Linked DNA regions of Stegostoma tigrinum. The protein of the gene in region 2 purifies or fractionates together with the protein of the main gene of each other region. This does not show direct contact. Links are inferred from orthologs where the notes say so. Each region holds a gene or a part of one and is shown on either strand. Other genes may lie near its edges.

Evidence for each region. The genes of interacting proteins can lie anywhere in the genome.
Region 1: the proteins of amfra (region 2) and derl1 purify together in Homo sapiens (affinity purification with western blotting; 4 studies listed by BioGRID, with this or other methods). This does not show direct contact. The link is inferred for Stegostoma tigrinum from reciprocal best matches to the Homo sapiens genes AMFR and DERL1.
Region 3: the proteins of amfra (region 2) and faf2 purify together in Homo sapiens (affinity purification with western blotting; 9 studies listed by BioGRID and IntAct, with this or other methods). This does not show direct contact. The link is inferred for Stegostoma tigrinum from reciprocal best matches to the Homo sapiens genes AMFR and FAF2.

Annotation. Positions count from the first base shown.
Region 1 is NC_081358.1:39,217,841-39,228,073, forward strand, and holds the start of derl1 (derlin-1), read right to left. Parts: upstream 4,907-10,233; 5' UTR 4,772-4,906; coding exon 4,613-4,771; intron 1,974-4,612; coding exon 1,874-1,973; intron 1-1,873. Other genes in the region: tbc1d31 (TBC1 domain family member 31), read left to right, coding at 8,295-8,371. UniProt on the Homo sapiens protein: Functional component of endoplasmic reticulum-associated degradation (ERAD) for misfolded lumenal proteins. Forms homotetramers which encircle a large channel traversing the endoplasmic reticulum (ER) membrane.
Region 2 is NC_081369.1:10,282,140-10,293,197, reverse strand, and holds the start of amfra (autocrine motility factor receptor a), read right to left. Parts: upstream 4,717-11,058; 5' UTR 4,551-4,716; coding exon 4,182-4,550; intron 1-4,181. Other genes in the region: nudt21 (cleavage and polyadenylation specificity factor subunit 5), read left to right, coding at 9,534-9,646. UniProt on the Homo sapiens protein: E3 ubiquitin-protein ligase that mediates the polyubiquitination of lysine and cysteine residues on target proteins, such as CD3D, CYP3A4, CFTR, INSIG1, SOAT2/ACAT2 and APOB for proteasomal degradation.
Region 3 is NC_081366.1:45,947,952-45,958,442, forward strand, and holds the start of faf2 (FAS-associated factor 2), read right to left. Parts: upstream 4,907-10,491; 5' UTR 4,852-4,906; coding exon 4,783-4,851; intron 1,721-4,782; coding exon 1,652-1,720; intron 1,342-1,651; coding exon 1,207-1,341; intron 665-1,206; coding exon 588-664; intron 511-587; coding exon 372-510; intron 1-371. UniProt on the Homo sapiens protein: Plays an important role in endoplasmic reticulum-associated degradation (ERAD) that mediates ubiquitin-dependent degradation of misfolded endoplasmic reticulum proteins.

The DNA of each region.
Region 1 (10,233 bases), on a different chromosome or scaffold from region 2:
TGACTTCAGTTGGGGTAAATTGTTGGAGGTGATTATAAAAGATAGGATTTGTGGACATTTACAGAGGCAACAATTGATTAGAGATAGTCAGCATGGCTTTGTGCGAGGGAATATCATGGCTCACGAACTTGATTGAGTTTTTTAAGGAAGCTACCAAAAAGATTGATGAGGGCAGAGCAGTAGATGTTGTTTACTCAGACTTTAGTAATGCTTTCAACAAGGTTCCACATGGTAGCTTAATTAGTAAAGTTAGGTCACATCAGATTCAGGGTGAGCTTGCCAATTGGATACATAATTGGCTTAACAACAGACAGAGAGTGGTGGTAGAGTGTTGCTTTTCGGACTGGAGGCCTGTCACCAGCAGTGTTCCGCAGGGATTGGTTCTGGGTCCTCTTTTGTTTGTTATTTATATAAATTATATGGATGAGACAATAGAAGGCATGGTTAGTAAGTTCGGAGACGACACCAAAATTGGTGGCATAGTAGACAGTGAAGAAGGTTTTCTGAGATTACAAATGGATCTTGATCAAATGGGTCAATGGGCTGAAAAAGTGCAGATGAAGTTCAATCTGGATAAATGCAATGTATTACATCAAACAAAGCTGGGGCTTATGCAATTAATGGTAGCTCCTTGGTGTTGAAGAAGAGCGACCTAGAGGTTCAGGCACATAATTCTTTGAAATTTGTGTCACGTATAGAAAGGTGGTTAAAAAGGCATTTGGCACACTTGCCTTCATTGTTCAGTCCTTCAAGTATAGGAGTTAAGAAGTCATTTTGAGCTTGTACAAGACGTAGCGGAGGCCTTTTCTGGAATACTGTGTCCAATTCTGGGTGCCCAGTTATAGGAAGGATATTAAGCTGATGAGCGTTCAGAAGAGATTTACCAGAATGTTGCCAGCTATGGAAGATTTGAGCTATAAAGAAAGGCTGAATAGGCTGGGACTTTTTTCACAGGAGCATGGGAAGTTGAAAGGTGACCTTATAAAAGTTTATAAAATAATAAAAAGGTGTAGAGAGTGTTATCCACCCCTTCTTTATAACTCAAACCTTCTATACACAGCAACATCCTAGTACATCTCCTCTGAATCCTCTCCAGCTCAATCCTTCCCAAAACTGGGCAACCAGAACTGGACACAGTATTTTGGAACAGGCCTCATCAATAGTTGTCTTTTCCCTAGGATGGGGGAATTTCAAGACTGGGGGACACATGTTAAGGAGACAGGAGAGAGATGTTAAAAAAAAGGGAAAATTTTTTACACAGTGGATGGTTCGTGTATGGAATGACCTTCCTGAGTAAGTGGTGGATATGGGTACAATCACAACATTTAAAAGACGTTGGGATAAGTACATGAATAGAAAAGGTTTGGAGAGCTGGGCCAGGAAGTTGGGACTAGTTTAGTTTGGTCCGAACGGTCTATTTCTATGCTGTATGACTCTAAGATCAGTGATTTTTCAATCTTCGTCAAGAATCTAATTTCAATTTCCATCCTGGAGGTTGTGAAAATACTGCATTTAGAGTTCATAGGGATTTGAAGGGCTGTATCAGGATAAATAGCTTTGCAAACATATAAAACTATCTAACACAACAATGCCTTATACTGGATTGTGTATCTCTTTCCTATGTTTGTGCAATTAAAATGCTTCTGAAACTAAAGTTTAATCTCTACACTTTAAAATTATTCCAGCTTGTGAGCAAAAACATTGGTGCCCAATATTTGTAATTTTTTTTAAAATATCAAAATGATGAATTTAGACAAGCTCCTGGATTAGTACTTTCACTTAATTTTTTAAATACATTTTTTTTCAGAAGAAAATCTCTGAAAAGTTCAATGCACAAAATGGATGCAGCGCAAAGACAGGAGTAGAAACCAACCTCTTTCCAAGCTTGAGGAATAGGAATACAGGAAGTATAGCTGAATCAAATAATGGAACCCCATTGGGTAAAACAGGCTTGCAGTTATTGGCCTCCATATCTGTGTATGTAAATAAAAACAATATTGGTTGTTCATCACCCTCAGACACATCATCTGTACTGAGAATCAAACAAAATTTTGATCACTACTTGCATCAAAAACAATTTTATTCCTAGCATACAATACCAACAATCAAAACCTGTCAGAAAAAATGGGAACTGCAGATGCTGGAGAAGCCAAGATAACAAAGTGTGAAGCTGGATGAACACAGCAGGCCAAGCACCATCTCAGGAGCACGAAAGCTGATGTTTCGGGCCTAGACCCTTCATCAGAGAGGGGGATGGGGAGAGGATTCTGAAATAAATAGTGAGAGAAGGGGAGGCGGACCGAAGATGGAGAGAAAAGAAGATAGGTGGAGAGGAGAGTATACAAAACCTGTCATGCTGCCTCTGTCACGTTTTGACAAATGCACAAAGAAATAAAAGTATTCTTTTGCAATGTAGACTATATTCACAATATTGTTAAACTAATAAGGCAGCAAGAAATTCAAACTGACATCAACAAATCTTTGACACACACAATCATTGCTCCAGAACTCTCCTTGTGACAACGATTTGCCACAAAAAGTGATTTTCTTGTTCACATTGCCATGTTTAATTCTCCCTTCTGAAAATATCTTTTTGTCTCTTCCAATAGATGTGCCTTGCATTTACACAGCATTTATCACAATCCTAGAATGTCATCTCACTGTCACTTCTTCATTTTTGAAGTGTCGTCATTTGCAATGTAAGAAATGTGGCAACCAGTTTGTAGATTTCCAACCAAGTGGATAATGTAATAATGCACCATCCAGAGCAAGACAATGAAATTAATCAATGTTGCACTACAAGTTACTTTTATGCACACACGTGTTTCTTGTTTCAACTGGTGAGAATGTTGCTCATGAACACAGCCTGAGAATTTGCGCGGGTGTCCTAGCCAATAATTATTCCTCAAAATAGCATCACTAAAGCAGTTTCACTGGGGTTTAACAACTGCTGCTTGTGGTTGCTGCAAGATCCCAACTTATCCACAGCATATCCAGCATTACAACAGTGACTACACTTCAAAAGTGCTTCATCAGCTGTCAAGCATTTTGGGACATGTGATGAAAGATGCTAAATAAATGCAAGGTTTTTTTAAGCAGAGAAAATTGAGATGAAAAATTGAATAGCTGTGTACATAGAAACCACTTAATCTGTAGAGATTTTGCTTTCAATTTCAAGATGTAATAAGTGAATGTAAATTCCACATGCTAATGTGGGATTTGAACCGGTGTCCATGAAACATTAACACAGGCCTTTGGTATACGAGTTCAGTTATTTAATACAGCTCACTATTTCCCAAAGTGTTGGAAGAGAGCAAGATATATAATAGCAAACTATCGTCCTATTGATTAATATACAGATTCAAACAACTGGTATATTTACATATATAAATATATTCATAAAAATGTAAATATGCTTACACATTAATACTTTTAAAAATAATTCTGTATACAACACTAAGTTGCTACAGACATCATTTTAACTAATTCACAAAGATTTTACAGTACTTTGAGTGATCTGGAAGACGTGAAGTGCTCTTTCTTCTTCTGTACTCAAACTTCACATTATAAACTGAAAATCATCAATCTGCCCTGGGCTTTAATGTCAATGTATCAATGAAAAGTGTAGTAAAATGTCCCAAGGTACTTCACAGGACTGTTTGACAAAAATCTGATACAGCGGCAGGTGACCAAATGCTTGGTGAAAGTAGCTGGTCTTCAGGAGTGAATGAAGATTAATTTGGATTTATATGCTGTAATGTACACAGGGAGCAAGGGAAAAGTGTTACAATTTGGCGATCTTCAGTGTCCTGCAACAGGGTTGAATCTGATCTTGACTCTAAGTCTAAGGCATTCTCAAACTGGGATACACAAAGACCATCTAGGGGTCTGCAAAATGATGGAGGTGGGAACAGGTTGTGGTTCATGTATGCAGGTTGAGCTGGCTGCTTTGCTTCAGAAGGCTTGCATTCCAGGAGGGGCACAGGCTGGTGGCTTCAGCAAGATCACTAGGGAGACTTGCAGTCACTAAGCACCCAGGTAAACCCAGCCTTACGCAACAAGAGGGTTTTATTTTTAAATGGCAAAAGTACTCTTCTCTACAGGCCATCCAATGGGGTTCAGGATGACTTGCTTCAACTCAGTTTTACGAGCTTTGAGATGGCAGATAACTCCAATTCTTGACCAGCACTGACTTTGTTTTCTCTCCACAGACGCTGCCAGACCTGCTGAGTTTTTCCCAGTAATTTCGTTTCTGGCGTTTCAGATCCAGTGACCGTTCTTCAGAATTACTAAAAGCAGTGCAGGTGGCCTTCGAAGGGTTGGATAGAATCGTCATTTATCCTCCAAACATCTTAAATTGTCAAATATCACATGAAGACAGACTCTTCAGCGACAAGCAGGCAAATCCTTCCGCCGATGGCTACAGTTAGAAACATTATGAAATCTCTACGTATACATAACATACTTTAATGATTTATCTGAGATTACTAATCCAGTTGAAAAGTGAGCCCTTCGACCACGCCTCACCCCCCAAGAGGTCTGAGAATCTCTAGCTCCCGGCAGAGAATAGCCTAAACTGGAGTGACACTATCCGATGGAGTTGTCACCCTACCTGAAAGTTGTTGAAGAAAGGTTCGGCCCACAGCACCAGGGTCCTGGCGCTGACCATGTTCAGCCTCTCCAGGACAGGAAGGATCACGCTGCCCGTGAACCAATACCTCGTAACCAGGGGGATGCTGCGGTACCATTCGCCCAGGCCGCTGTCCGCCATCCTAAGCCGGATCGAGGGAAGGAAACCAGCCCGACGAAACCTTTCTCGCTCCGGACACACAACGACAAACCCACAATCGTCACTCTGCTCTGACCGACTGTCAACCCAAGGGCTGCTGGGAAAACCGGCACTCGTTTCCAGTGACGTGGCCGCACCACGCGCCTCCACACCTCACTGCTTCCGGGTCACCCAGCAGTTGGATGATGTGCATTGTTACACTGGCTCTACACATCAGCAGGATATTCAGCCTGTTTGGCCTTATGCTTGTGCCTCAAACCCCTCACGTTTGTAAAGTTTCAGTAGCGGGTTTTGTGTGCATAACTTAAAGATTTTAGAGATTTAAATCTCCGGACACACAGAAGAGAAGAGCAGGAATAGGTCATTGGACCTCTCGAGACTGCTTCGCCTTTCAAAAGAACCATACCTGATGACTAGATAACAAAGTTATAACAAAGACTAGATAACAGAAAAGGGGTTTTCTAATGAAGGGTCTAGGCCCGAAATGTCAGCTTTTGTGCTCCTGAGATGCTGCTTGTCCTGCTGTGTTCATCCAGCTCCACACTTTGTTATCTTGGATTCTCCAGCATCAGCAGTTCCCATTATCTCATGTCTGATGACTGAGCTCAATTACCTAATCCTGCCCATGACCCATATCTCTCAATCCTTATAGCTATAAGTGCCACCTCCTTCTTGAAAACATAATGTTTAGGTGTCAACTACTTTCTGTGGCAGTGAATTCCACAGGCTTACCGCTGTCTAGGTGAAGTGATTTCTCCTCAGTCCCAAAAGGTTGATCCCTCATTCTTAAAAAACTCGCGGTTCTGAACTCCCCTACCATGGGCCACATTCTTCCTATGTCTAATCCTGTTAGAGCTTTATAGGTTTGCTATGAGATCCCCTCCTCATTTTTCTGAACACCGGTTCTAACCAACTCAGTCCTCATATGACAGTCCTACCACCTAAGGAATCAATTTTGTAAACCTTCACTGCACGCCCTCTGCTGCAAGAATATCCTTTCAAATAGAAAGACCAGAGCTGCATACAAATTCCAGGTGTGGCCTCACCAATAGCCCATATAATTTCAGCAAGACATTCTTACTCCTGCACTTGAATCCTTTTGCCGTAAAGGCCAATGTACAGTTTGCCTTATTGCTTACAACACCTGCATGCTTTCAGTGACTAGTGCACTAGGACATCCATTGTTGAATATTCACCTCTGAATTTACAGCCATTTCTAGTTTTCCTACTAAAGTGGATAACCTCAAACTTATCCACATTTTGCCTCATCTACTATGTATTTGTCCATTCACTCAGCCTCTCCAAATCACACTGCAACATCTCAGCATCCCGCTCATGGCTCCTCTTCCACTCAGCTTTGTGTCATCAGCAAATTTTGAAATATATATTATTTCTGTAACTAAATTATGAACATATATTCTGAATATCTGGGGTCCTTGTATGGATCTCTGTAGTACCCCACTAATCACAGCTGGTTATTTACAGGGTTTTTGTGAAGTCCTTGCACAACATTAACCTTAATTTGAATGACCACATGGGAGAAGCAACCTGTGAACTCTATGTATCAGAAACATTTTTGCTTTTTATAGCACCTTCACAGCCTCAAGATGTCTCAATGCACTTAAAAATCATTGAGGTAGAGAGATAATAGGAACTGCAGATGCTGGAGAGGCTGGATGAACACAGCAGGCCAAGTGGCATCTTAGGAGCAGGATTTTTGTGGGATAGGAAACACAAAATCATCACATCACTGCTTTGCTGGGAAAAACATGTTCATATACTTGACATCAAACTCCTAAGTACGTCCTCTTCTCAGAAATTAGACATCAAGCCACACCCCAGGAAGGCAGGGGAAATGCTTCAGGGATGTTGTCAAAGCATCCTTGAAGGGATCAAATATCCCAAACAACACTAGGAAGTGCCTGGCCCGTGACTAACTATAAAGGAGATGGTTCATGTAGGAATACACCAAGTAGATTTAGACATTTTGTTGGAGTCATGCAAAGATAAAATCGAGGCATCAACAAAGACACACAAGGTCTACAAACTTATCAGCCATCTTTGAAACGAACATACTGGAAGGAAAGCAAGTCATAAAAACAGAAAAGTGCTGGCACCTTGCTAAACTATAAGATATCCTACCCCAATACCAAAAGATATTATGCAAATCCAGAATTGGCCAGTTCAGTTACACAAAGAACCATGGCAAAAACCTGTAGTCCTGACTAGACATGATCTTTGAATTAAGATGTAATGAGAAAATGACTAGGTATGCTGCTTTTCTGAAATAGTTGAGAGATAAATATGGAGAGAGAACAATAATCAACATCAATTTTATCATTATCTCATTACTATTTGTGAAATTGAATGTATTTTCTGCATTGTAGCAGGGGCTACACTTCAAAAAGTATGTCATTGGCACACACTCTAAATATAGAACATAGAACATAGAACAGTACAGCACAGAACAGGCCCTTCAGCCCACAATGTTGTGCCGACCATTGATCCTCATGTATGCACCCTCAAATTTCTGTGACCATATACATGTCCAGCAGTCTCTTAAATGACCCCAATGACCTTGCTTCCACAACTGCTGCTGGCAACGCATTCCATGCTCTCACAACTCTCTGCGTAAAGAACCTGCCTCTGACATCCCCTCGATACTTTCCACCAACCAGCTTAAAACTATGACCCCTCGTGCTAGCCATTTCTGCCCTGGGAAAATATATTTTTTTCTTTCCATCAACTTCTGTTATTAAATGAACCCCCAAAACTACAATTCCCAGAAAGAAAGAAAGGTAGCACGGTAGCTCAGTGGTTAGCGCTGCTACCTCACTGCTGGGACCACAGAACCAAATTTGATCCCAGTCTTACACAACCGACTGTGTGGAGTTTGCACATTCTCCCTGTGTCTGCATGGGTTTCTGCTGGATCCTCTGGTTTCCTCCCACAGTCCAAAGATGTGCAAGTTAGGTGGTTTGGCCATGCTAAGTTGCCCAGAGTGTTCAGTGATGTGCAGGTTATGTGCATTAGCCTTGAGAAATGCAGGGTTACAGGGACAGTGTAGGGCGATGGGTAAGCGTGGGTGTGGACTTGTTGGGCCGAATGGCCTGTTTCCACACTGTGGGAAGTCTTTTTTTTTCAATATATATAAATTGCTGGGGAAAACTCAGCAGGTCTGGCAACATCTGTGGGGGAAAAAGCTGAGTTAACGTTTCTTCAGAACTACAATTCCCAGCATGCGTCGCGGTCAGCGAACGTGATGGTGTCACTTCCTCCATGACCGGATGTTGAGGGCGAGCGTGTCAGTTATTTGGTTCGAGGGTCTGGTAGAAGTTCCTTGAATTTGTAAATTGGGTTTTGATTTAATTTGTCTGTTTTCTAGAAAACCTTTCAGTTTTATTTTTCCAGTGGCGTTGGAGGCGTTTGTGTATTTTTACGGCTGATGTGGTGAGGTGACAGTGGGATAAAGTTTGAATTTGCCGCCGAACCTGTTGCCAGCCTCATGCAGATCAGCGACATTGGAGCCCGGCCGCAGGGAAAGATCTGGCATCGAAGGCCCAACCCCTCAACAGCCGACGGGTAACACTGCCAGCCTTGTCTGCCACCTATAGCTAACACACCTATTCGACTGTGGCAGGCATCCCTGCGGTGCTTGAGATTCCCCCGCCCCATTCGACTGGGGAAGGCATCAGCGTGGTGTCGAAGATCGCTCTCCTTTTCGACTGTGGCGAGCGTCAGTGTAGTCCTTGCGATCTTCCACTCCACCACTCGACCTTTTCAGTGGCACGGTGATCCACTCCCACCTCCTCCCCAAGTAGCCACTCTGTCGGATGGCATTGGTTTCCCATCTTTGGGCCAGTTTTAGCGTATTGCGCCCATAGGTGCTAGCGAGTTTTGCGAAGATTTGTAGCTCAGGTTGAGGTGCTGGATGTGAGTTTGTTCGCTGAGCTGGAAGGTTAGTTTTCAGACGTTTCGTCACCATTCTAGGTAACATCATCAGTGAGCTTCGTCGGAGGCTCACTGATGATGTTACCTAGAATGATGACGAAACGTCTGAAAACTAACGTTCCAGCTCAGCGAACAAACTCACATCCAGAATAGTCCCATTGCCACGAAACTCCCAGAATGAGTGCATTCAGAGTGGCAGCCTTAGCTCCGACACACAGCGTCAATATTTTTAAACCGTATCAAAGGGTGGAGCTCATAAAGGAGATCCCTGCTTGATAAACCTTTTCTCCTCGCTCACGTTACCTTCTCTGCACGGTCCCAAAGAGGATCAGCTCATATAACACAGATCGAACCAGAGGCATCCATGATCTTTCTGTGCCCTGCAATGCATTGTTTCTTCAACCCGTGGAATGATCGAGCGGACTTTATATAATGGTAGCTTTAACAGACTGTACACAACAGCATTTTTTGTTTAAAACGTGGATGTCATCCCTTATTAATTTGTAATGTACAATGCAAATCACATGACTTCATGGATAATGGGAACTGCCGATGCTGGAGAATCCGAGATAACAAAGTGTGGTGCTGGATGAACACAGCAGGCCAGGTAGCATCTTAGGAGCACAAAAAAGTTTTTTTTCTGATGAAGGGCCTAGGCCCGAAACGTCAGCTTTTGTGCTCCGAAGATGCTGCTTGGCCTGCTGTGTTCATCCAGCTCCACACTTCGTTACATGACTTCATGCCTCAGTCCCATCTTTGGTGTCAGTGTGCAATTTTAAAGCATTGTTAGGACTGTTTCTAAAACCTTTCCCTCAGAGGTGATAAACTTCTGAAACATTATGGAGAGCTATTATTTTTAAATTACTATTTCAGTCCCATTGGTAATATGCAATGTCCCTCAAATTAGTTAAACTTTGATATTCAGCTTTTTGCTGGTAAACGGTATCAAACCATGAAAGTCAGTTCCTGAGAATTGTTTAATAAAGATGAACTTCTTTATTCACTGATTCAAGAAGATGAGAGATCCATATGTTTAGGTGTTAAAATGTTCTATGTTTAAATCTCTCCAGTGTTTGAGATTTTAACATAGTTAGATGTGATTTTGTCAGCAGCGGCTTTAACAGGGTCCCGGATTGGAGACTAACCAGAAAAACAGATGGGATCCAGCATAACCTTGTAAGTTGGATCTAAAATTTGCTTGGTGCCAGGAGACAGTGGATGATGGTAGAAGACTTTGTTTGACTGGAGGCTGGTGCCCAGTGGCATACCATAGGGATCAGTGCAGGGTCACTTATTGTTCAGGATATATAAACGATGGAGATAAAAATGTGGATTTTTTTTGGGTGGGGGGAGGGCAGCGGTGATAAATAAGTTTTTGGATGACACAGAGATTTGACAGTGAAGATGAAGGTCTTCACTTACGGGAAGATTTAATCACTTTGGTCAAATGGGTAAATCAATGGCAGATGAAACTTAACCCTCAATGTGAAGTG
Region 2 (11,058 bases):
AAAGGGAGGGACATGTGAGAAATGGTCCAGGTGAATCTGAGAGCATAGTGGGGAATGTTGGCGAAGTTGATGAACTGTTCAAACTCCTCGCAAAGGCAGGAGGCAGCACCAATACAGTCATCAACGTAGCAGAGAAAGAGGTGAGTGATGGTGCTGGTGCAATTGTTGAAGAGGGGCTGTTCCATGAATCCTACAAAGGGGCAGGCACAGCTCAAGCCCATGCATGGCCAGCCATTTGATTTCTCCTACTTCCTAAAAACTAAACGAAAAATTGTTGCGGGTGAGGGCCAGTACCATCAAGCGAATGAGAGTGTTGGTGAAGGGGGACTGGTTGGGCCTATGGGAGAGGAAGAAGTGGATGGCTTTTAGGCCATCCCTGTTGGGGATACAGGTATACAGGGAATGAACGTCCATGGTGAAGATGATGAGTTAGGAGCCGGAGAATTGAAGTTTTGGAAGAGGTGGAGGGCGTGGATTGTGTCCCGAACATAGGCAGGGAATTCTTGGACCAAAGGGGAAAGAACAGACTCGAGGTAGGAGGAGATGAACTCGGTGGGGCAGGAACAGGCATAGAGACAATTGGTCGACTGCGGCAGCAGGGTTAATGGATTTTGGGTAGGAGACAGAAATGGGAGGGGAGGGTTTGGGGAACTATTTCCTGCCCAGAATGCCTGTATCCTCCACAAAGACGGCCAAAAAGCCTCCCGATTTTTCCTCTCCCATAGGCCCAACCAGTCCCCCTCCAACGGCACACTCATTAGCCTGGCAGAACTGGTCCTCTCACACAACAATTTTTTCTTTGATTCCTCCTATTTCGTACAAACCAAAGGGGTGGCCACAGGCACCTGCACGGACCCGAGCTACATCTGCCTCTTTGTCGGATTCTTTGTCGCTACACTGGTGACTGTATCGGTGCTGTCTCATGCTCCAGCGAGGAGCTTGAACAGTTCACCAACACTTGCCACCACTGCCACAAATTCACTTGAACTGTTTTTGACACCTCCCTCCCCTTCCTGGACCTCTCCATCTCGATATCTGGTAAGTGGGTCACCACTGACATCCATTTCAAACCGATTGACTCAGACAATTACCTCGACTACACCTCCTCTCACTCACCCTTCTCATAAATACTACTCCACACTTAATTCATCTGCCTCCACTGCATCTGCTCTCAGGGTGAGGCATTCTACTCTACTACTTCCCAGATGTCCTCCTATTTTAGGGACTGTAGGTTACCCTTTTCTGTTATTAAGGGTATCGTCAACCAAATCAACCCCATTTCCTGCGCGTCTATCCTCAAACCCTCTCCCCTCAACTACACTAAGGATAGAGTCCCCTTAGTCTGCACATACCACCTCACCAACTTCCGAACAGAATGTATCATCATCCAACATTTCTCTCTCCTACAATCAGACCCCACCAAATAGATACTTCCCTCCCAACCCCTGTCCACTTTCCGTAGAAACTATTCATTACATAACTCCGTCAGCTCCACACTCCCCACCTGGTACTTTTCCCTGCAACTGCAGGAGGGGTTACACCTGCGCCTACACCTCCCCTCTCAACTCCATCCAAATTCCCAAACAATCCTTCTAAATCCAGCAGAGATTCAACTGCATTTCATCTCACCTCATCTAGTGTATCTGTTGCTCCCGATGTGGTCTCCGCTATATTGAAAGACCAAACCAGACTCGAGAACCGTTTTGCGGAGACCTGCTCTCTGCACACACCAACCAACCTGTCCTTCCAGTTGCCATATACTTTAAACTGGCCCCCCTGCTCCCCTGGTCACATGTCCATCCTTGGCCTCCTCCAATGTCAGAGTGAGGCCAAACATAAACTTGAGGAACAACACCCGATATTTCACCTTGGCAGCTTACAGCCAGAAGGCCCGAATATTGACTTCACCAGCTTCAAAATTTCTCTGACCACCCCCGCCAAGTCTGTCCATATTTTGACTCACCTATCTGAAAAAGGGGAGAACTTAATATCCAACTTATAAGCATTCAAAATAGCTGTAACCCAACTTAATATTTAAAGGTTCAGTATGATTTGAAATGCCTTCTCAAGATAGCTTTTGGCTCCCTCATTTGTAATCTGCAAATTATGGTTACAGTCAAAATGAAGTTTTCACTTTAATGTTGAAACTTAGAATCATGACAACACAAGAAACAACTATTCCGCAAATCAAGTCCATTGGCACTGCCCTATCCTCAGAGCCAAGCAAGTTTACCTTGATGAAAAGATTTGCCTCCACTACCACCAGTCTTTTAAAGAGTAAATCCTAAATCATTGCCACTTATTGTGTTAACAAATCATTCTTCCCATTCCAACCATTTGCTAATCCAAAACTTTTAATCCGTACTGACTTTTTAAAAATGACAACTAATGCAAATCGCTTGTGTATGTCAAAAATGTCAGTCTTGTCCATCTGATATAGTAGGGACCGCAGATGCTGAAGAATTTCAGATAACAAGGTGTACAGCTGGATGAACACAGCAGGCCAAGAAGCATCAAAAGAGCAGAAAGAAGGGTCTAGGCCCGAAACGTCAGCCTTCCTGCTCTTCTGATGCTGCTTGGCCTGCTGCATTCATCCAGCTCTACACCTTGTTATCTCAGTCTTGTCCAGCTGTCAGATTTCTCCTGAACCTCTGGTTCCAGGATTGTTCTCCCTGGAGCAATTCAGTGAATCTTGTCTACACCATCACAAGGACCATCATTTCCTACAACTTGGCACAATGCTGCAGTTGTGGCATATACTGCTTCTTCCTATTCTTTTGACCAAAATGTATCACCTCTCACTTCTCTGCAATGAATTCTATCTGCAATTTGCTACCCATTTTGCTTTACCATCTTACAGTTCATTGGTATCATCCTGTATGTTTACCGCAGGTCCACATGTAACACAATCAGCAAATTCTGGAATTTTTTCCTACATTGTATTTCTGAATGACTTGGATAGAGCAATGCTACCAGCATTGACCCTTAAGAGTTACATATCTTAAATGAATCAAGAGCTCACATCACTCAACACTCCATCCCTTCATTCCCAGGGTTACATACGAGCTCAAAGTTATTTCATGGGTTTCCTCATCACAATGCAAAAACCCAAGAACACAAATAGGAGTACGTGTTATGGCCTTTCCAGTCTGTTTTGTCATTCAGTATGATCATTGCTGATCCAATCACAACTTTAACTCCATTTTCCGACTGTTGCCCAACACTTCAAACTCACCTGTAGTTCAGGAACCTTCTACAACACTCAAACAGAATTGTGAAGAGGTATGGCTTAATCTCCCTAATCGTATGATCCTAATCTTTCATACTACATTTCTTTTATTTCTCCAAATATTCAGTTCTCTATCCGAAATGCTTCAACTCAATTCGTAGAATATTTGAAAAGCTAGACACACCTCCGAGGGCACCTCCTGAAACTTAGAAGGAAACGCACTGGATCCGAATTGAAGGAATAAAATGGGTCTTCCTTCAGTTTTCGCTAGAAGAAAGATGGTACCCAGCGAGTGTAGAAAGGCACTATTTCTGTTTCAAACGATAGTATTAGGTGAGCCCTGCATCATTCATTTTAGCAGATGACGAACGTGAAATAAATTTTACAGTAAAAATCTTTAAGAGGTTTTAGAGAACAGAAAAAAACTGCAACAGTAGATTATGAAAATTTGTTTTCATTCCAACGGAAACTCTTTTGGAGTACACATTGAAATATCTAACCGCGTCAGTGAATTCTGACCCGAACGTTTAGAAACACAAGTCAGTGACAACGGCAGCAATGCGTTTATTCCGTTATCGATTACTGTGTTCAAAAAGAACTCCCTTAACGATTTAAAAAGTGAAAGAGCTGCGGATGCTGTAAATCAGGAACAAAAACAAAGTTGCTGAAAAAGCTCAGCGGGTCTGGCAGCACCTGTGAAGGAAAATAGTTAACGTTTCGGGTCTGAATAAGACAGTTCTGAGGAAGGGTCACAGATGCTGCTAGGCCTGCTGAGCTTTTCCAGCAACTTTGTTTTTGTCCCTTAACGAATTGTTTCCTATAAGGTTTTAGAATTTTAAACCACGTCTACAAGTTGCTTGATCAGTCCAAAAGGCCAGAGAAACTCATCTTCCTTACAAAACTAAATTGACACCCCCCCATAAAAACACAACGAAGCAATACAAGCACTCACCCAAACACACCAGCCGTCTGACACCAGGTACCAGGCCATCTGTGCCGCCAGTCCATGGCCATTGGCCCAGTCGGGTCGACTAGTTAATCCCAGATCGCCTTCACCATGATTGGGAGACAAGTACTGGGCGGCGTTTGCCCCGCTTTCCCGGCCGCTGCCGCCCTCATCGATTCCGTTCGGCCGATCGCCGTTTGTGGCGTCGCTGGGGGTAGGATCGCCGGGGTCGGGGACCCGCAGGGCAGCGGGGCCCGGGGGCAGGCTGAGGTTGGAATAGGCGCTAAAGAGGCTGATCGCCAACAGCGCTGCGCTCAGGGCCGTATAGGTCCGCAAGCTTGGCCAGGGGAAACGCTCAAGGAAAAGGAGCGGCATGGCGAAGCTGATGGCTGCGCTGCCGTTACCCCAGTGACCTGGCTTGAGACGGCACCGAGATTCCCGTTAACGCTCGGGCACGCAGAAACGGTCCCGTTCTAACTCGAGCCAACGATATCGGTGACGTCAGCACACAGGATGGGGGGAGAGCGAGCCGGAAACAACCTCCGGAAGTGACGTACTGAGACGACGCCGCCGGACGGAGAACCTCCCGAAGTGACGGGGATGTCGGATCGCACTGTCATGGAGATAGTCTCCATGGTTACCGAGTCAGTTAGTCATGCCTGCAGTCATCAATAACAGCTCTTTGGAGGACGGTATTAACAAATATACATTTTGACGCATTCCTTACTAAGCTTAGAGTTACAGAATTCGCTCATAATATTCTGAAGTAGTTATTATAGGTTTAATCATCATTGCTGGTGGCATCACCCCGGTCTCGTGCCGTCTGCTGCTGAGACCCTTATCCATACTGTTGTCCTCTGTTTTTCAGTATTACAGTTTCTCTTCTCAACTATCCCGTCCTCTTCGAACTTAAACCAATCCAAACTTTCGCTGATTGCTTGCATCATGTTCTGTTTGCCCATCACCTAACATGCTCACCAATCTGGATTCAAACACAGTAGTTGCGGGAAAAGCTCAGCAGGTCTGGCCGCATCCGTGAAGAAGAAGTAGGATTTCGGGTCAGGCGACCCTTCCTCAGAACTGTTGTGGCTTACTGTGATTTTTCTTCACAAATGCTGGCAGACCTGCTTCCGCTTTTCCTGCAACTTCCGTTTTTGTTCCTGATTTACAGCCTCCACATTTCTTTCCGTTTTCACCAATCTAGATTAGCTTGTTTGAATAGTAAATCCGGAAATGGATGAAAAGCTATCTTGCCCAGCCTCAGTTTCATCTAAATCCCATCCCACCTTTAGACTTCCTTTCTACTCAGAAACTCACTTCCCATGTCTATCATTTCCCAATTCCCTGGCTGTTCGATGGCCCAAGATCTCTGTTATCACAATGGCCCAGGCTCAAATTTCTTTCTTGACTGTTGCAACCACTAACTGATGTTTTCATGAAACATTAATCAAATAACTCCCTCCAACCCAGAACATAGGAACTACAATTATAAAAAAAACCCTGTTTAATCAATGAAAGGCCATGTAAGAGCATGGAAAGAAAAGGAAGACTGGAAAGGAAATAGAAGAGAAAGGAGGTGAAGGAATTGATTTACTGAAAAATTAAGCAAGAACAATAGGCAAAAAAAGAATGAGGCAAGCAGAGAGATGGACAAGTGGATTGTTCACAATTGGTACGCTGGTAAAATGGAAGGACACTCTACTTTCACAGATGTTGCTGCCATGCTGCATATTTTCATGGACACTGGCAAAATCTAGATTATTTGGGTTAGTCCTGCATTACAGAATCTCTGTATAAGCAGTGCTGAATGCTTGGAAAAAGGTTCTACAATGTCTCCAATGTTTACTAAACATGGGAGCAGACGTAAACAAGGTTTGATGATCTGAGAAAATATGCCAGGATAAGACTTTACAGTGTTACCTTTGTTAAAGTAGATGAGCAAACTATAATAATGACAAGGTGTTTGATTATGATATGTTATATATTTAATGCTCTCATTAAAAGCACACAGCAAACTCATAGCTCCTCCAAACATACACGGGCAATAACAAAGGACATAACTTCCAGCTGCAACTGACATCATGAAATTGTGTCATAATTACATTTAAAAAGTCCGCATATAATTCTTCCAATAAATCAGGTGAAAAATACCTGTGCACAAGGAAATATGAAATAAACAATCGGGCACTTGAGTATTGCTGTCATTGCTTCTGCCAAATGTCAAAATTGCCTTTTTTTCTAACAGAACATAATCACGGTTGGAAGCATGTCCAAGAAAAGTGAATGTTAAAATGTAAAGTTCTTGGGTGCATTTGAAGAATCAAAATTCAAAATTATTTGTACTATCAGCATCGAGAGAAAGGTGAAATTAGATTAAATCAAGCTCAGGGTTAGGACCGAAATGTTCCTGTAAGCCTCTATCTAATCACTCTTTGGCAGAAAAAACATACCCTCAATATCAACTCATCATTTATTACCACAGATGTACCAGTCATGCAGCTAGCATGATAACTTACATTCTTCTTATGCTTATGTAGCTATTCGATGAGTAAAAAAGAGATCTTGAAGCTAGTGCTGCACACTAGTCTACATTACTCATTCTGATGTTTCAAACACTAACCTGTGAACCCATTACAAAGTGGGGGAACATAATTACTGAGCTTCAGTCCAAAGCACAGTGTGAGTCAATGAGGATGAATGAGCTGGTGCAGCTCATATCTTTCCTTGGTTGGACAAGTAGAAATATGTACTTCAAGGGGTCTATTTATAACAGAAAGATGAAATCTGTGCATGGTCCTATTATGGGGTTATTTGAGATCGTCCAAAAGATCCTGCAAGATCTGCCAAGAATCATGAAGAAATCAACAGATCACAGTTAAGTTGTGCAGAAAGGATACAATCCATCATGCAGTGTGCGGCAACTCCAAAACATGAACTGACCGGTCACAGTAATGGTAATCATCTGTATTACTTGTTCAAATAATCTGCCTTCTTGGAAGTGAAACCTAAATATGAAGAAAAGATAAAGCGCCTTTCACATTCAAAGGACATTCCAGATGCTACAAAAATAACAAATTAATTTCAGAATGTCAGTAGCTCTGATCATGTAGGCAAATACAACGGTGAATATTCTCATTTGCTGAATACTAAATGTTAACTATGATGGGCAAAAAATCTCCAGTTCTTCTTTCGACTGGTTCTGTAGAACATATGATGTCTGTTTAAATAGGCAATGGCCAGGCTTAAGGGATGGAGATTGGGAAAGACAATAAGATATGATAGCTTCAGTCTACCTAAGTTTAACAGGATGCAATTGCAATTCGAAATGCTGACTGTTAGACAAACAACGTGACAGGACTAAGATAGTTGATTGGAAGAACCAGGGAGAGATAGATCAAACATTTCACCGAGCAACCTGAGAAGTACATCCAATGAAAGAAGATGAAAGAGTAATGTGGCCAAGATACATTCATGAGGCAGTCTGGAGCTAATGGATAAGTAATTAAATGTGAATCTTTTGGCAATTGTCTGCTAGGCAACCATGGTTCCATTCAAAATCGTTCCCACTGCAGTGGACAACACAGGAATGGAGGAGTTACATTAGCACTTTAGTACCATTAAGGGACATTATAAGCTTACACATTCAGTGAATGCAATCCACGTAGACAAACAGAATTTTCACACAAGGTACCACAACAGCAAGTAATGAAGACAAATCAGCAGGTTAAAAATTGAAAGAACTGCAGATGCTGTAAATCAAGAACAAAAACAGAAGTTGCTGGAAAAGTTCAGCAGGTCTGGCAGCATTTGTGAAGAAAAATCACAGATAATGTTTCGGGTCCGTTGACCCTTCTGTTGCAGATAGAAACTCTATGTTGAATACCATGTGGATCTGAGTAATGACATGCCTTCAGTCATAATTATCATTATAATGTGTTGACGTTGGTCCTGGGTGCTTGCCTCAGGTCCCTGCAGTTTCACAACTTGTTTGGGTGTCCCAAAGGTTCCCAAGCGGAATATGAGTTGCTGTTCCTGCAACCTTCGGGTGGCATCATTGTGGCACCGCAGTTAGCCCATGATGGAACCCTGCAGCCCAATGATATCAATGTGGACTTCACCAGCTTCAAAATCTCCCCTTTCCCCACCGCATCCCAAAACCAGCCCAGTTCGTCCCCTCCCCCCACTGCACCACACAACCAGTCCAGCTCTTCCCCTCCACCTACTGCATCCCAAAACCAGTCCAACCTGTCTCTGCTTCCCTAACCTGCTCTTCCTCTCACCCATCCCTTCCTCCCACCCCAAGCCGCACCTCCACCTCCTACCTACTAACCTCATCCCACCTCCTTGACCTGTCCGTCTTCCCTGGACTGACCTATCCCCTCCCTACCTCCCCACCTATACTCTCCTCTCCACCTATTTTCTTTTCTCTCCATCTTGGGTCCGCTTCCCCCTCTCTATTTATTCCAGAACCCTCACCCCATCCCCCTCTCTGATGAAGGGTCTAGGCCCGAAATGTCAGCTTTTGTGCTCCTGAGATGCTGCTGGGCCTGCTGTGTTCATCCAGCCTCACATTTTGTTATCTTGGATTCTCCAGCGTCTGCAGTTCCCATTATCACTGTTAGTTTTATAGTTTTGTTTGATTCAGCACAGTTTTTTTAAAAAAAATTCTTGGAACATGTATTATATATGTTCTTTGCGATATAACCATTAAAGTTTTTTTTAAACTTCGCCTGGGGCAGGCTGTGGTTTAATATTTAACCTGCACGATATCACTGCAATAATGCAGCGTCTCTACCAGGAGTGCTTTGATCCTGCGAAAACAGCTTATTCCAGAATAAAGGGTTGCAAGTTTCGTCCGAATGTGCCAAACCCTCACTGAACAAAAGCCTGTATTTCGAATGATAAGCTACGAAAATGAGACCTATCTTACACTGCAACCTCCTCCCCAACTGCTGTGTAAACGCTGTTCCCCACACCACCCCCCACCACTTCAGCTCTGAGGAGGAGTCAGCCAGACTCGAATCATTAGCTTGCTTTATTTCCACGGATGTTGCTTGAGGCCCTGTAATCGCCAGCTTTTTTTTAAATTTTCCTTTCAGCGATTTCCCGGACATGCTTCTGTCAGCACTGACATCTCTGCCACTTACTCAGGAACAGGACAAGCCTTCTGCCCCTCAACACTGCGATACTGCCCCCTACCGAGCGTTGTTTCCCTGACCCGGAAGTGTTCCCTGACCTGGAAACGTGGGTTTCGGGTTAAAGCGCGAAGGCGGCCTTGTTGATCCTTGTGTGTGTGAGAGAGGGAGAACCCGTTCCCGACGCTGCACTGGGTCCCGTACCTTTCATCAGCTTGTTGCTATGTCTGTGGTTCCGCCGAGCCGCTCGCAGGCGGGCTGGCCCCGCGGAGTGTCTCAATATGGGAATAAGTACCTGCAGGCAAAGCCGCTAACCCTGGAGAGGACCATCAACCTGTGAGTATCCAATACACTGGATTCTGTATATACCTCTGTCGAGCTAGTTTCATGTGAACTTGAAAATAGTATATTTAAAGTTTTAAAAAAGTTGCAGATGGAATCCAATTCTTGAATACCGTGTGGATTTGAGTAATGACTTGCCTTCAGAAGTAGTTATCGTTATAGTGTATCAGAGATGGTAGGAACTGCAGGTGCTGGAGAATCTGAGATAACAAGGTGTGGAGCTGGATGAACACAGCAGGTGAAGAAGCATCAGAGGAGCAGGAAGGCTGACGTTTCGGGTCTAGACCCTTCTTTCTGCCTCTCTGATGCTGCTTGGCCTGCTGTGTTCGTCCAGCTCTACACCTTGTTATCTGTATCGTTATAATGTGTTGAGGTTGGTCCTGGATGTTCGCTTCAGGTCCCCGCAGTTTCATTTTTTTTTGGGGTGTTCCAGCGTTCAAGTACAGATTTAATATTAAGATTTTGTTCATTTTAAGTCTGTCTGACATGAACTGGTTTTTGTAGTTGTCTGATCTCGTGAATTACTTGTTGGTATCTAGCCATGTGTCTTCAGCCTAGTAACTTGAGAGCTCATGAATGGAAATAGTTTATTGGACTTACTCCAGTAAATTTAATTGGATATCAATGAAATGAGTGGAAGTTACTTTCACAAAGAGTGTGAAATGGCTGTGTTTCAGAGGATTGTTTCAAATTTATCCATGAACTTTGCAACCAATTTAGAATTCTTGAGTAAAAACAAAAATATGAAAAAACAAATTCAGGTAATACCTCTGGCCTAGAGGCCAATCTACATGTTCCGGTGAAGCTGACTTGTTTGTTATAGTGTAAAGTGGTCAAGTGTATTCTTGATGTAGTCTTGTCAAACAGCTCTAGTGGAATAGATAGGCTTTGTTAATATCAGCTATTTCTGTGGTGTTTTTGGTACTCAGGTTTCCTAGATTATGGCATTAAATTGTCTACAGGGTACCTAAGTTTACTGTAAAACAGTAAATGAGAGAGTATATGCAAATCAAGCCACTGATGCTGAAGACATTAAACTGTTACAATAAACTAAAGTTGGGCATTTGCAGGTTAATCAGCACTATCAATTTGAATTTTCAAGAGTGTAACCTTTCTTCTTCTTGAGATTTAGCCACTGCCTTGAACGTTTGTAAAACCTCTTTCTTCTTGAGACAGTGCTGTTTGCATAGGAGTTCTCAGCTTTGCATGCAGCGGTAGTGAAGAAGCTGTGCAACAGTTCAGGCCTTTTGGCCCATCATGTTGTGCTGACCTATTATCCTACTCTTGAGGTCAGGATGATGTGAGACTTCGCTCGTAGAAGTGATCCTTTGCCCTGGCTCTCCTAAGTGGTAGAAGTGGTTCTGAAGATTTAGTCAAAGGATGCATTGCTACCTTTGCATCTGATG
Region 3 (10,491 bases), on a different chromosome or scaffold from region 2:
ATATGTTTGAAGTTTACATCAACGTATCTGGTTAATGTTCCAACAATACAAGGACCCACAATATAGGATAGATAAGCAATTGCCTCATAACCGGTAGCATAGGCTAATTGTCTGCCCATGTGAAGTGCAAGCTTGCAAATAGTAAACAGCTTCTTGAATGGAGTCCAAATAAAGCATGAATAGTGGGAACTATATTAATGGTTTCTTGCAAAACTACACATCAATTTGATTACTGGCTTTAGAAGAGAAGAAACAATTTGCAACTTATTTTGAGGGGGTTAGGAGTGCACAGGAAGATAACATTCAAATCAAGCAGTAAAACAGCATGAATTGTAAACCTAAAATAACTGTAAAGGTAGTTTTGTACAAACCTGACTGTAGGTTCCTTGATAAAAGACTGGATGGATCCTTCCATACTGTTCCTCAAAATTCTGAATAAATGATACTACATCCCCAACAGGATCAGTAACACGACTCCTAGGATCTGGTCGTATAAACCTTATAGCAAATCTATTCAAAAAGAGAGTTTAGATTGAGGATTTTTTTTTTGTTAACATGATGCTTTGTGAAACTTTTCAGTATCTCACCTAAAAATGTCCAGCAGCGTGTAATAGGTGAATCGGAAAGGAAGCATTATCAAGTAATAACTCCATCCTAAGAGACCCTGTAAAAATCAGATATTACTGTTAATCACTCCATTACAAAAATTGAACAAACCCAATGGTTTTTGCTCTTATTAAAACAAACAAATTTAGAATAGTTTTATATTGTACATAGGCAAACCTCACCAATGGCTTGACCATACTACCACCAGGTCACAAAATACAAACTTATATTGGATACTTGAAGGACAGAGGGTACAATACAATGAGTACATAAACTGATTTTATGAATGAGGTCACTAAGTATTGATGAGCTACCTCTTAAAACTATGATTAATGATTTATCTTGCCCTACCAGCAATCTATTTTAAATAAGCAAGGAATAAAATGAGTTATTGATATAATGTCAATCATAATCAAGATTCAATGTAATTTCAGTTGGGGAATTCTCAACCATTTTCTAATAATGAGTTACAAATGAGCATATTATATCAAATACAAAAATCAAATTTAATAATAAATAATGCAAAATATGATTTGATGACTTATTTTTGATAAAATTTTAAAGTGAAAACAATGAATAAAATAACTAATATGGCCTCACCCTAGGCTGAGGTCTTGAAACTACATAACTATAGACTCTGTGATCTGCTGTGTGAACTTGAAGTGGGCGAGAGGAAGGTGGGTTGAAGACACTGGGAACGCCTTCTTGTTCATTTAACCTATCCTGAACAGCTGCCTAGAAGATAAAAATAGAAATGGATGAGAAAAATTGAACATCGAGAATAATTTAAATAAACAAAACTAAATCCATAAAACAGGTTAAGTTTTAAATCATAGTGCATATTATTTATACAAAGTGACCAATCACAAACTGTTAGGGCTCACCACGGCTCTTAGTAATATATCTAAACAAGGAGAACAGTCAAATTGAGTGAAATATCAGAAACATTCCTTAAATAGGAGATAGCACGTAGAAAGTCATTTCCGAATCAACGCCAAAACCCACTGTAATATTTTGTATACAATTTTGTTTGCTTCCTTTGTACCTCAATGTTCCAATGATGTTGCTCAAGTGTACGGCGACATTGGTCCATTGAGTCGATACCTGTTAAGTCCTATGGTGAGAAATATCACAAGAAAAGTATTTTAATTAAAACAGTACAGACATGTTAACATTGAACTATTAAATTTAAATATCCATTTATATTATTTGATGCTTCAGGCAACTAACATTTTATTGTTTTTAATGGGTCGTTAGATGTATCTTTTCACGTTTTGAGCCTTCACCAAAAACTCATGTTTAGAGATCAGTTGAGGAGCTGGTTTAAATACTTAAGTATTCAAATAATATTCAAAATGACATACAAAAACTGAAGTTGCTGGAAAAGCTCAGCAGTCTGGCAGCATCTGTGAAGAAAAAAAAAACAGAGGTAATGTTTCGGATCCAGTGACTATCCTCAGAACCGATGGTAGCTGGAAAAATGTTGGTTTATATACAGAAAATAGGAAGGGGAATGGGATAGGGAGTAAATGATAGGATAGAGCCTGAACAGAGGTCTTCTGTTTTCATTCCTGACTTACAGGATCTGCAGTTCTTTCAGTTTTTAACTCAAAATGACGTTTCTAATTAAACATTGAGTGTGGCAGTTCAGCGATAATTGATTCAATCAGCTAACATTCAGTACTGAACAAGCAGGTATTTCCCATGCCTAAGTATTGCGATCACTGAAGTTTGTTACCACCAGAATCTTTCTTCTGCAACAACCTTTTCCATCTCCGTACCTGCCAAATTTGAAAATAGAGGAAGATTATGCACAACTTTGCAATTGTGTTTGACTCCAATGAGTTTTCTATCACATAGCCATTCCATTTCCCAAGATGATATACACATCCACGTCTGCTTCAAGTAAATATGCAGATGACTCTCATCTGTACTTGAGATATAGTCAAGCTAAGACAATGTTCCTCTTGATGGACACCTCTGTTCCACCCTAATAATCTCATCCAAAGCTAGACTGCCTATCAATATTTTGGTTGCAGAAAGCAGCAGAGTACATCAGCAACAGCTTAACCATGTTAAAAATAAACCCTTGCTTTAAAAACCCTCCATGGTCTCATCTCACCCCATCTCCATAAGCTTTTCCATTCACACAAGCATCCAAGATTTCCACAATCGAGGTTTTAGCCTATTGCATGTCCACTTTTAATTGTTCCACCACTAGGATCATTCTTTTAGCTGTCAAGCCCCTAACATCTAAAATTCCTACATAAGTCCGCTTGGGTTTCCTCCTCCTTCAAAATTAAGTTTTCGACCAAGTTTTTGGTCACGAACCCCTCTTCCACATGTCTCCCCTGCAGTTATCCATGTTGTAAAAAAAAATTGTCGTTCAGTGCCTTGGGGCATTTTTCTACATCAATGTTCCTATACAAACAACTTGAGAGTTCCTACGGTGAAGTGGTAGTGTCTTACCTCTGGGCCAATATATCACGGTTCAAGTCCTACAAGTTCCTGTTTGAAAAAGTTTCCAGGCTGGACAACTCTATGACTGATTCTAAGGGGATTTGTAATATCCATCCATCAAGTTGTTACTAAATTGCCTCTACAACTTAAAATGTAATTTGTACCTTAGGGCCAACACAAAAAATTTTGCGAACCCTGGAGGCTAAGGGTATGAATGTGGACTGCACAAGCTTCAAAATCACCCTCCCCCGACTGCATCCCAAAACCAGCCTAGCTACTCCCCACCTCGCTAGCCATTCCTCCCATCTCAAGGCCCACCCCCATCTCCTACCCACTAACCTCATCCTGCCTCCTTGACCTGTCTGTCCTCCCTGGACCAACCCATCCCCTAACTCCCCACCTACATTCACCTTCACTGGCTCCAAACCCACCCCTTTGACCTGTCTATCTCCTCTCCACCTATTTTCTCCTTCATCCATCTTCTATCCGCCTCCCCCTCTCTCCCTATTCATTTCGGAAACCCCTTCCCCTCCCCCATTTCTGAAGAAGGATGCAGACCTGAAACGTCAGCTTTCCTGCTTGGCCTGCTGTGTTCATCCAGCTCTACACCATGTTATCTCAGATTCTCCAGCATCAGCAGTTCCTACTATCTCTACAAAAAAATTCTGATTTGTCATTTCATTCTCTGTCTCTTCCTCCACTCAACAACACCACCCACTCTTTCAAAGAAGGTATGAGACTGTGCTGCAACCACTCTATGACCTATCTCGTGGCTGAAGCAAGAACAAACAATTTGAGGAAACTTCCTGATAGCTAGCGATGCATTCAATTTCATCCATTCTTGCCTTGCAAAATGCTTATCTGGCAGTACAAGAATCTCACCTTTTGCAATATCAGATCTAATGCAAGACTTTATATATCACCTGAACTACACATACAGGATACAAATGTAAAACCATACGGTTACAGTGTCTGGCTTGAAAATCTTTTAAAAAATTGTTGAAAATTCAGAGAAATACTTGCTCATTAAGATGAGTTCAGCCTTTTCAACTTTCAACTAATTGATGTAATTCTTAAGTTATTGTTTCATTTAATGTAATGTTCTTCTTTTCCAAGGGATAGAATTTCACAGACCCCTAACATTTACAAAGTTTTAACAAGTTCCAGATAGTTTGCCACACACTTAATAAAATCACAAATTAAATACTCTACACTAAGCTTAGCATACATCAGTCCTGCAAAACACAAGCTTATTTCATAAGTGAACATTTCACGACACAGTCACATTGCTTCAAAAGCAAAAAGGATAAAAGTTAAAATGTTCCAAATGCTCCACAGCTGCTGTCAGGCCAGCTGGAGTTTTCCAGCAATATCTCTTTTTGTTAAAGTTAAAATGGTTTCAGTTAAGATAATCACCAAATGTTTATTCAGCATAAAATATAGATCCAGCTAATTCAATTTTTAACACTATTAGGGTTTTAACTGTTTAGAATTTTGTAAATGGAATTGTAGTTGACAGTTTTTTTTCCTTGCTCTAAGTGAATTATGCCAGATGGAGGGTTACCAGAAAATGTTGTGAATACAGAAAATGCCACAGGTGCAGAAGCTTCAGCCCTTCAGCAGGACTAAATTAATTCAATTAACGAATTAAAAAGTACCTGAGAATGACGACTCACGTCGCCCTCTATGGAATTCTGTTAAGTTTGATGAATTTACCTGAAACTGCAACAGTTTCTCTGTTTGTTCTTGCGTTAGTTCCTCCTCTTCATTGCCAGGCGCCGCCATCTTGGATCTTGCGTTCCAGGCCCGTGCGGAAGTAGATGATTTTTGGGTAAAGTCGCAACCACGAAACGCAAAAAAAAATGCGGCCCAACCAGTAGTTGAGTTCTGAAATTGCACCAATATTTAAAAATGGTACGAGGTATTTTTACGCATCGGGTTTTGGATTTCGATGCATTCCAGCACAGATAGTGGGCCGGTTACGGAAACAACCGACGCTCTTCGGTAGTTCTCGGAATCGCCCGGCGCCGACCTTAACAGTTGATGGAGTTGTGGCGCCTGGGTTGAGAGGTTGCAAGTTCAATTCAGTGCAGCACGCGATTGGTCATGAGAGCTGGGCCGTGATTCCAGAACTTTAGCCTGGGATGCCGGAACCTTCGCCCGGGAGTTCTAGAATTCTACAACACTCTACACATATTCTACAACTCGTATCCGCTTATTTTACGTTTAATACCCGTCGCAACACGTGTCTCTGGAGGTTTCCTCCCCTTCCTGCCATCCTTAACACTGAAGATGGGTCTTGATGTAGGAGGCTGAGCGCAGACAAGATTGCGTTGCCAACGCACAAAAATACTGACAATAGTTGAAATACGTGGGTGGAAAAGATGTTCTTTGAAGTTAGACATGTTAGATATAGAATGATATGACGCTAATGTTTGCAAAGTAGTTTTCCAAGCGATTAATGTTCAGACTTCTATCTGAGAGTTTTTTTTTAGTCGTGATTAAACAATGACTTTTGAATCACGTTTTGAAATTCTCCATTCCGGTTAAATTTGCCTTCTGAGTTCATTGCCGTCTTAGCTTAACATTTCCCTCCATGTAAACTCCCCAAACCACATTTGCACCCATCCATTGATCTTGCAATTAATCTTACACGGCCTCAATATTCTCATGCCAGTTACTTGTTTGTATTGCTCTCCACTTGCATCCCATTTCCAACGTTCCTGCCTCTTGTATATACTCACAGAAAGCTTCTTCAATTTACACTCAACAGCTGTGCTTTCAAAATCCCACTACTTAGCCTCTGTTCTTCAATTAAAACAAGTCAACTGCACCTACACCTCCAGGCTTGATATTCTACAATTGCCATTAGCGGCATGAGCCTCACCCTACTACTTAACGGCGATGAGCAAAGGGTAACAGACTTGAGTAGACATGGCAGACAACTAGTTTAGGTATTCATTGTGAGATCTTACCTGAATGATGCTGCTGCTGCTAGATCTTGCTCTCCTAAGCCAAAACTGCTTATTTCACCAGGATAATTCTAATAAATAAACATAAACAACAGCTCCTCTTGTTCACTGCAAACTATCTTAATCCCCTCCGGCTTGCATCCATCAATTGCACCTCTGACAACACTTTTACGATTTCAAATTCTCAGGCTGTCTCAAAGTACTTTACAACAAATTAGTTACTTGTGTAGTTTTGGAATTTAGAAACTATGACTGCCTATTTGTGCACAGCAGTCTGCCACAAACAGCGATTTGATAACGAATGTTCTTAAGTTAATTCGTGACTAAGTATTAGCAGGGAAACCATGATTAACATCTTCACTGCCATGCGATTGTTCTGAGAAATCTGTGAAGGGCATCTCTGACAGTTTAGTACTTGATTTTTGTGCTTAAGTCCTGCAGCAGGACTTGAAATCATAATGCCTGATTCAGAGGATGACAATACTACACACTAAGCCACAAATGACTGATACTATATCCCCAACTGCCCTTATAAGTTCATCTTGTCCATTATTCCCACCTCCTACTTCCTGGTCACTTTTCCACTAAACTGTTGACCAACTTCCTTTCTATGATTCCATGTTAGTTGACTTTATTAATGGCTCTGTCTTCTCAGGTACTATTCTACCTGACCTAAAAACAATCCTTCATTCCTGAACTTCATCCTTACAAACTGCCACTCCATTTTCAAACTATATTTCCAAGATCCTCTAACATTCTTTTGTCAATTAATCTGTATTCATATTTCTCAAAACTTCATATTTGAATCCACCCAAATTATGTTTCTATGGCTGCCTAATTGAAATAGTTCATCTCAAAGTTATAAATGACATCTTATTTGTGAGTGACAGTAAAATATATTTTTATTCTTCTAAATTTGTCTGCACCCTATAATTTTGAATGACCATAAGAAGTTCTTCCAATGCCTCTTCACTGTTGGCTCACTTTAATAGAAAACTTTCCCAGTTTCATCCTCATCTATTTAATTTTAACCTGACAATAACCATCTTCTTTTGAACTGTTACCTTTGACCCCTACCTATTTCTCCTCTACGTCTCTCCTCAGTGACATGATCAGGAAACACTCTCGATTTCCACGTATATACTGATGATAAACTACTCACATTTCTCAATCCTCCACACTCTCTAAATGATCAGATTGTTGATCCAACAGAAATTTCTTCTCAGGAAATGAGCAGACATTTCCTCAAATTCTATATCAGGATGACCAAAATCATTACATTCAGATCCCCACACCAACCGCACACACATTCCATGCTCCATTTCCTAGCCACTGATTCAGTCTCCATGGCAACCCTCAGAAGCTGAACCCGACTCTTTGCAATGTAGCATCAATCCAAGGTGAGTTTCCAACTACCTATCTGCCCAATCACTAAGTGTGCTTGCTTCCACATTGCAACATCATTGGTTAACATCCCTTAAATCATCTGCTGCTGAAATCCTTTCTAACCAACTGTATAACATCTATAATTATTCAAATGCATTCCTGGGCAGCTTCTTATTACCCTCAGTAAGCTTGAAATCACCCAAATCTCTGCTGCCGGTGTCTAAGCTCAGACTAAATCCTGTTCATCCATCACCACTGTGCTCACTGACCAAAGTTGTTTCAGATTTAAGCAATTCCTTAATTTAAAATATTTCATCCTTGTTTTCAAATAACTCCACGGCCTCACCTCTCCCTCTCTGTGTCATCTCTTCCAACTCTATGACTGTCTAAGGTACCTGCACTTTTCAAACTTGACCTTCTAAACATATCCATAATTTCTGAGTTACCATCACCCTAGAATTCCTTCCTTAATTTTTTTTTCCTTTAAAGCATTCCTTAAAACCTACATTTTTGACCATCCTAAAATTTCCAGTGATTGGTCTCAAATTTTACTCATGTTTCTATGGAGGTACCTCAGGAATTTGACGATCTTAATTGCAGTATGTAAATACAAATTCTTGTTAAAACACTATTTTCAAGAATGTCATTATTAATAAACAATAAAATAGATATTTTGTCTCGGCTCAAATAACAGTACTTGTTATGTTCTATTAACTGACCTGAAATAGCCAATAGTCTAGACATGTTTTCTGTTAAAGCATAGGAGACATCAACCCAATTTTAAAACAAAAACTGGCAAAAACAATTGCTTTCTAGAAGGACAAAACTAATCAAATCCTAAATCCTACAAAACAAACACCCTTGGAGACTTTTCTTGGTTAGTGTGTTGTGTAAATACTATTTGACACAATTATTATTTCCATTATCTGTTACAAATTCCTGCAGTTTCAGCCTAGAAAACTTCACACCTACTGGCAGCCTTCACCAGCACTACTCAGGAATTGATGTAGCTGTAGACGTGAAGGAACATGGTTCTGACAGCTCCATTGAAATGTTGTGAAAGCTAGGTCTGGAGTAACTAAACGGTAAGTTGACATAGGTCGCAATATTATGACTTAGTCTATTAGGTTGTTGTTTCCTTTTTAGAATTTGGAAGTTTATCTCCTGTGACCCTTTGCTAATTTTTATAAAGTTGATGAAGACACCAAGGCAATCCAGTGTTATCATGACTAGCCAGTAAGAAGAGTAATGAGACAGGCAGTCAAACATTCCTTGGCTGGAAGGTAAAACTCAAAATTAAATCCAAGGATCTCTGCTTCGTAAGGCGAGTGGGTGGGCATTGGAGGAGGATAGACATGACGTTATTAGCTTGCATTCCACGCTCAAATGGTTGAGCAAGATTCAGCACATGCACACACTGACAAAATAGCAGGTTAAGCAACTTACTGGAATGTGACTGGTGGCCCATGAAAGTGCACATTTTGAATGGATCATTGAACTAAGGTGAGTGGAAGATTAAATATCCCCAAATGTAAATCATATCTCTCTACGTGATGTTAAACTATTCACTGTGATACAATTTCCCTTAATTGAAACTTCATGTTCTCTTTCATTGTTATCAATGTTAAGGGGTCTATTATTGGTCACATTGTACGTGAATAAAATGAGTAAACCTTAAGTATTTATTCATTTAAATGAATCAGACTGTAAAAATGTCTCAAACAAAACTTTAAAAAAACCCAATATGAATAACTTAATAGCTGATTTAATTCAGCCGTGACTACAATTCAGATGACTCTCCACCTTGCATAGTAAAGCTGGAAATGAACCATAATCTGCTGAATGATGACTGAAAGTATGGCTTGTGGTAAAAATATAGAAACTAGATGGTCAGCAAGACATTGCATTTATATCACAGTGAGCATAATAAAAACTCCCAAGGCACTTCACGAAAGCACAATTGGACAAATACTGATACTGAGCCAAAAAAGATATTCTATCTTCAGTTTTTCTGACTCATCTGGACATAAACTGGTCCCGTATACACAAACACTATACAAATTAATGCTGGAGAAAATTCATTATTCCACTCCCTAAACAGGAAAAGATATCTAAATTAAAATTCAATCTATCCAAAAATATCTAGTTTCATTGGCCCACTATCGTGCTCTGAAAAAGGTTTTCCCTATTTGCTTTGAGAATTCCTACAGTATGGAAGCAGGCCATTCAGCCCATTGAATCCACATCAGCTGTCCAAAGAGCATCCCACCCAGACCCACCCCTTACTCTATCCCAGTAACCCTGCATTTCCGAAGCCTAATCCACCTAACTTGCACAGCTTTGGACTGTGGGAGGAAACCTGAGCACTTGGAAAAAACCTACACAGACTCAGGGAGAATGTACATACTCCACTCAGACAGTTGCCAGAGGGTGGAATCGAACCCGGGTCCCTAGTGCCATGATGAAGCAATGCAATCCACTGTACCACCCAGTTTTCAGATTAACGTTATTATTTGCCAATTGTATGTTGTAATTCACCAAAAGACGTAAACAAGAAGGCAAGTTGCCTGGCCCTGAGGTAGTGCATGCCAGTGTAGGAAAAGAGATGGTGGGGGAAATAGCAAATACACTTTTTAACCAAACTTCGCTGGACTCTGGAACAGTTCCAGCAGATTTGAGAACAGCAAATATAACACCACTGTTTAAAAAACAGAAGTAGACAAAAGGTAGATAACTATAGGTCCATGAGCTTAACTGTGGTGGGAGAAATGCTTAAATCTATAATCAAGGAAGAAATAGTGGAACATAGAACATAGAAAAGTACAGCACAGTACAGGCCCTTCGGCCCACGATGTTGTGCCGTGGAATAATCCTAATCCAAAAACAAAATAACCTAACCTACATTCTCCTCAATTCACTGCTGTCCATGTGCATGTCCAGCAGTCGCTTAATCTGGATAGAAATTGTCCCATTGGGCACACACAGCATGAGTTCATGAAAAGCAGGTCATGTTTAATTAACTTACACGAATTGTTTGAGTACATTACAAGTGCGGTGGACAGTGCGA